2 linked regions of the Canis lupus familiaris genome follow. The protein of the gene in region 1 interacts with the protein of each later gene in a pairwise test. Links are inferred from orthologs where the notes say so. Each region holds a gene or a part of one and is shown in the gene's direction. Other genes may lie near its edges.

What was found. The genes of interacting proteins can lie anywhere in the genome.
Region 2: the proteins of KRTAP26-1 (region 1) and GDPD5 interact in a two-hybrid assay, tested with the Homo sapiens proteins (2 studies listed by BioGRID and IntAct). The two-hybrid records come from large-scale screens. The link is inferred for Canis lupus familiaris from reciprocal best matches to the Homo sapiens genes KRTAP26-1 and GDPD5.

What each region holds. Positions count from the first base shown.
Region 1 is NC_049252.1:25,722,936-25,725,756, reverse strand, and holds KRTAP26-1 (keratin-associated protein 26-1), read left to right. Parts: upstream 1-1,414; 5' UTR 1,415-1,440; coding exon 1,441-2,010; 3' UTR 2,011-2,224; downstream 2,225-2,821. UniProt on the Homo sapiens protein: In the hair cortex, hair keratin intermediate filaments are embedded in an interfilamentous matrix, consisting of hair keratin-associated proteins (KRTAP), which are essential for the formation of a rigid and resistant hair shaft through their extensive disulfide bond cross-linking with abundant cysteine residues of hair keratins.
Region 2 is NC_049242.1:23,254,123-23,257,772, forward strand, and holds part of GDPD5 (glycerophosphodiester phosphodiesterase domain-containing protein 5), read left to right. Parts: intron 1-1,647; coding exon 1,648-1,746; intron 1,747-2,208; coding exon 2,209-2,302; intron 2,303-2,683; coding exon 2,684-2,829; intron 2,830-3,650. UniProt on the Homo sapiens protein: Glycerophosphodiester phosphodiesterase that promotes neurite formation and drives spinal motor neuron differentiation.

The sequences.
Region 1 (2,821 bases):
AGCAAACATAGTCCTATATTGGCTCATAGAGAAACCAATCTTCTGTTTCAGAGATTTGGCTCCTCCTGGATGGAGGGAGACTTATTAAGTGTGGGTGTATCCATTGAACATTAAAATGGAAGAAATTGTGATTTACATTGAATTTTTAGCTAAAGGGAATTGGAAAGTAGATCAAGCAAGGCAATTAAAATTCCTGTTAAAGTAGTCACTAGAGCCACTAGATATGTTGATATATAAAAATACAGTGGAATGGATGAAGCTAAATACAATGAAGCATTTTTAAACCAATTTTTACAGGAAAATATATTCCCAAATAGCCTTGAAAGCACTAATGCTATATATATGATGATTTCATATATATATATGATGTTATTTCCCATGTAAAGCAGTTTAGAAGCTATTTTTTTTTGGAAATTGACATCAGAACCAATGTAAGAAGCAAAACCAAACCCATTTCCAGGTCCTAATCATCATTTCTTTCTTCTTTTTTTATTCTATCAAGAACATTAGTTTTTGTTAGGAACATGAGTAAGCATGAAATATATAAACCTATACTAACTATTAAAAAAAAATGTCATGCTGTTCAACTTTCTTTGAGGGGTGTTGTTTACTTGCTGTTGTTCACAGTAGTATTTATATTTTCAACTGAAATCATCTTATTTTTCTATAGTAAGAATACTTTAAACATAAACCAAGCTTTTCAGCATGACTCTGTTTATTGAAATGCATAAAATGAGTATCGCTTTTTAAAATAAAAATATTTTGGTAGGAAGCCATTTCCACCAGGATTCTAAAAATAAAGCAAAGCATAAATTTAGGCACATTGACATTTTCTGTGTTATACCGCTTTTAAACTTTTTCTGCCCCAAATCATTTAGGTTATAGATCTTCCACATCTTTAGGTTATAGATTTTCCACATCCTTTTACAAAATACTTGTATTCAAGTTTCTTACTATTGGCGATTTCCAAAAAGAATAGAATTTCCCCTCAAAGAGAAAGAATTTGCCACTGTTTCAAAGAATTTTGCTACGCCTTTTTTTTTTTTTTTCTCCCGGAGAGTTTTGCTACAACTTTTAAAGGGAATTCCAAGACAGGAATTCTAAGAACGTTTACATAGTGGTGGTTATACTTGGATTACATGAATGACCTTCAGACATACCTGTTTTGATTGGATATTTTAAGGAGAGATCCTATTAAAATTCAGTCACACTTCTTTATAGATATACTTAATCCATAGAAGGAACATCCAGGTTTATGGGAGGTGGGAGCTCCCCTTTCAGGGCTATAATAGAGAGTGCTGATGCAGCTTCCTACAACAAGGAGGAAGAGAGTCTGCGTTCCCAATCACCACCTTCCAGGGATATATAAGGGATCAAGTTAAATGAGGGGGGACACTCACTTCTTTCCATTCAACGAGAGCCTGCTTTTGAAACCTCACTATGTCTTGCCACAACTGCTCTGCCAACTACAGCTTGGGATCTCTCAGAAATCCCTGCCATATTCCTCTCACCTCCTCCGTGGCCCTCTGCTCTACCCATGTGAGCTGTGGTGATGTCGTCTGCTTGCCTACTAACTGTCAAGACCATCCCCAGCCTCTGGACAACTGCCAGGAGACCTGCAGTGAATCAACCAGCTGTCAGCCAGGCCACTGTGAGCCCAACAACTGTGAAACATCTTGCTACCCTTCTACTACTTACTACGTGTCCAGACCCTGCCAAGGAACCACTTTTCTTCCTGCTGTTTCCTACGTCTCTGGCTCCTGCCTCCCCGTATCCTTTAGACCTCTGACCTGTGTGTCCAACAGTGGCCGACCCCTGAGCCTCTTCACTTATGGATGCCGCCCCTTGGGTTCTTTGCCCTGTGGTCCTCAAACACTGAGCATTGTACCCAGCAGCCTCAGACCTCTGCGTCCTGTCTTCAGTGGATCCCAACCTCTGAACCATGTGTACAGCACTTGCCGTCCATCTTGCTCTGCTCTGGGAGGGCAGTGGCTTCCTTGTTCCAGTTAATAATCATGCTAAGGATCTGGGACAAAAAATTCAAACTGTGGACTTTTGCTTCTTTCCTAGTAGTGCCCTTTCTTGCTTTTTACTCTGCCTGACGTAATTTGTGCTCCTCCTTTCATATTTTTATCTTTTCTTTTTATCGCTCTTTGGCATAAAATTATTTGATTTACAATGCTGTTCATTGTCACTCAGGTGTGGGAAGAATTTATTTGGTTCATGTTGCAATAAATGAGATTAAGTCAGAATTAAGAATCTGGTTCTTCAGTTTGTCTTTCATTATTTCATTTGAACACAGAAATGACCAACCTCAACTGTGCGCATGAATAAGACATGGGATATGCAACCATATGTTCTTGTCTGACAGTAGGGGAATGGCTTAGTGGTTTATTCCTCAAACTTCTTTCTAGATCTCTGATCCTACATACTTAAGACACCCCAAAAGCCCTTGGTGGAAGTAACTTTAAGAAGGCAAGATTAGGAACATTTTCCTTTTCTCTCCCATCCAATAAACATACTTCCACCAAAATGTCCTTTCTCATTGCAAACTGAATTCTGTTCCCCTGCTACGAAAGCCTTTGATGGGTTCCTATGCTCTTATTCCTATAAAATTGCAAACCCCTGACCATGACATTGTTTTCCCTCATTGTGTTCCTCCATGCCATCTCTCTGGCTTCATCCCTTTCTCAATGTTGCCAAACTAAACTTCTGCAATTCTGACTTATGCGTAGGTCCTCAAACATGCAACATTTTATAATTATCTACCATTCTGCATGTCATCATCAAGGCCAGGATGCACTTCTAATCAATCTACCTT
Region 2 (3,650 bases), on another chromosome or scaffold:
AAAATTTTAATTGCATTAGGATTATGGGAAATCAGTCTTTTCACTATCAGTTAAATGTAGGAATACTGCGGAAACAACCCTTCAGAGACATTGGCAGCGCCCAGGGCCTGCCTGAAGGGGCAGCAGAGGGGCAGGGAGCCTGGGTATTGAGGGGGGGGGGGATTCTCAGGGACGGTGAGCACACTCCTTGGCCTCCCCGTCTACTGCAGCATGAAAGCCCAGAAAGAGCACGACCCCTGAGACAGGCAGGATGGAGTTTGTTTCTGGATCTGCCCCCTCAAAGCTACAGGGCAAGCAAACCCTTATGCCCACCAGTTTCCCCATCTGTAAACCCAAGGTGATAATGACCTCACCTGGGACATGACAAGAAAAAACATGAGGAAAACAGGACATCCCTCCCCTGGCCCCGGGCACATGGGCCCTCTGTGTACCTGCCTCTCCCTTACCCGCGTCCCCCGGGCCAGTATGTTACAGCCCATAAAGGCCCCTACTCGTCTCAGCCTTATTACTGTTTCTTATTGGAACATTTGTTTCTGGGCTGATGGGCTGGAATGACAAACCTCCAAAGGAAAACTTAATCCCAGGCAGGAATGAATCTTCCCTGCCTGGCAGGGAACAAAGATGGATCAACCACTGTCTCTGCCCTTACCATCCAAGCTCCTTCTGTTAGTGGAGGGCTCTCAGAAGCTGGAGGCTGCTGCCTCCAGAAAAGGCACTGCAGGAAGGGGTGGGGGCAGTGGGGAGAGCTTGCAGCAGCAGCAGGGCAGGCCATGGTGGCGCTACGGGCTGATTATGGGGGTGGGGGGTTGGAGGTAGAGGTGTGACCTGAGCTTTAAGTTGCCAGGCTTGGCAGTGGGGGGAAAGTGGCTGGACTGAGAGGGGGGCTGGGGGCCGAGTAGTCAGAAACCAGGCTTCACTTGGTTTGGGGAAGCATCTTGCATTGCAGGAGATGTTTCAGATCCCATCTGTCCGCAGAGCTCGCTGACCTGTGGAGGTTGTCTCCTCTTCCCTCAGGGTTATGCTCCTCACCTTCTCCGGGAGGCAGCTCAGAGGGCAGCCCCCACCAACACAGAAGCTGGAAGCTCAGAGGCCGGGGCTGGGAGCAAGCCTTGGCGGTGGGGCCGGGCAGGGGGTTGGGGGCAGAACCCTGCCTCACGTCTGCTTGATACCCCCCAGGGGGTATCAGCTCTTGCAGGGGACCCGGCTTCTCAGCCTCCTGCCCCCATGGTCTGGACAAGTCACCCTTCACCCCAAGGGGTGCTGGCAGTGCCAGGAGAGGCCTTGGACGTGACAGGCTGGGGCCGGCAGAGGTCCCACTGGCCGAGTGTCTTCTCACACCCTCAGTGGGGCTGAACCCTGGGCTGTGCCTCACCTCCCCGCCAGCTGCCTCCCATCTTCTCTCCTCTCCAGCCTCCCTTCCATATTCTCTTGAGGTCCCCCTGCCTTCTCCTGCCTCTGTCACTTATGGCTCCCTTATAGTCGTGCCTCCCTGCTCTGTGGGTCTCTCTTGCACTCTCCATTCCTCTCTGTGACCTCTCAGGCTCTCCCACTGCCTGCCCCCCCCCCCCACACACACACACTGGGGATGCTCAGGCTGTCCAGGCACACTGGCTCTGACCCTCTGTTGGGGGATACTTCCCCTTCCAGATGGGGCTGGTGGTCATCCTGGTGTCCACAGTGGTGGCCATGTCAGCCGTAGCCCAGCTGTGGAAGGACGAGTGGGAGGTACTGCTGATCTCCCTGCAGGTGAGTGTGGGGGGGGCGATAAGAGATGGTGGGGGATGGTGGGGGGTAGTTAGGGGGTAATGGGGGGTAGTGAGGGAGGACAGTGAGGGATGGTGAGGGGTGGTGAGGGGGTAGTGGGGGGCAGTGAGTGGGGATGGTGAGGGGTGGTGAAGGGGTAGTGGGGGGCAGTGAGGGGGGGACGGTGGGGTTGGTGAGGGGGGTTATGGACAGCTCCTTCCTTGGGACCTTCCAAACAAGGCAGTCCCTTTTTATCACTTATGTCTCTCCAAAGGCCCAGAGGAGGCAGGGAGTGGCCTAGGCCACACAGCAAGTCAGAGCAGGGAGGGGGCTAGGCTACGGCTCAGGGTTTCTGCACCCAGAGTTTCCTCCACTGAAAAATGGAGATAGAGTTGCCTGACCCACAGATAGAGTCTGGGCATAGCTGGGAGCCAATGGTCCCTCTTGCCCCTTCCCACACACCAGGGCACGGCACCATTCCTGCATGTGGGGGCCCTAGCTGCCATCACTGCGCTCTCCTGGATCGTGGCCGGACAGTTCGCCCGTGCAGAACGGTCCTGTAAGTATGACTGCCTTCTGAGTACCAAAACCAGCTTGCCCTGCCCTCACATGAACATCACCTAGGGAGCCTGGGGATAAGGTGTCACTCTCAGTGCAGGGGTTCTGGTTCAGAGTGGACGACAAGTTCCACCTAGGGCTGCAACCTTGGTCAGCCCCGAGTGTTCCCTCCTCTGCCTGTCTGTGTGTGTTAGAAGTCAAGCTCGCCATCCCAGCAAGAATGGGGGCTGCCTGTGGAGCAGGGTCACCTCGGTATCTGGGTCCTGACAGGTGGATTTTTCTGCCCACCCCCCTCACCTCCAACCTGCCCAGGGTTCATGGGTGGGCCTTGTGGGAGCCAAATAGCTCCCCAGGCAGCCTCACTCACAGTCGGTGTCTGCAGCCTCCCAGATGGCCATTCTCTGTATCTTCTTTGCCGTGGTGTTTGCCTTCTACCTGGCCCCTCTCACCATCTCCTCTCCCTGCATCATGGAGAAAAAGGACCTGGGCCCCAAGCCTGCCCTCATTGGCCACCGCGGAGCCCCTATGGTGAGTGCCCCCTGAGGGTCCTAAAGGAGCAGAGTGGGGCTACCATTCTGGGGAAGACAGGCCAAGAACCATCTCCTTGTAGAGAGGAACTTGTGGGGAAAGGAATGTACGTGTAATGTAGTAATAGCAGTGATCTTAGATGGACTGAATCCTGAAGAGCCCTGAAGGTATCTTACTAAAAAGATTTAACTTTTATCCTGAGGGAAGATGCAGGAGGGCTTCAGGCTGGGCCAGACCCAGCAGAGCTGGGTGAGGTGAGAGAGGTGCCAGGTGTGGGGAGGACAGCAGGTCCCTGGGTTGCCAGAGGCAGCAGAAACACATTCAGGGCTGGTGGTGGGGGGGGGGGGGGGTTGGCACTAAAGGGACAGGTGCAGCTCAGAGCCCATGGCTAAAGGGAAGGTAGTGGTGTTCACGGGGTTCACCTGGAGAGAGGAAGAAGTCAAAGTCAGAGCCCTGTGACCCCACAGTAGGCCTTCTTCTTGAGAGGATGGCTTCAGAGCCTTCTTCCTCGGCCTTTTGTCAGCTGTGGGAGCCTGGACTGATCCCTATCTGCTCTGCCGCCGGTTCCCTTGTCCTAGATAACCAGAGCGTCTGCCCTGCTGGCCGATGCGAAGCAGGCCTTAGCACGTGTGAAGTGCCTGGTTATGGGCCTAGTGCACAGAAAGGAATAGGTATACATTTCTGCTTTCTGGGGCAGGCCCTCTCCCTCCTCTGGACCAGGGGTTCCTTCTCCAGAAGCACCTGGAATGTGTGATTCTGAACAGAGGCAGTACCACTTTCCACCCCCAGGGGGCACTCGAAGACTCCGTGAGCATTTTTTT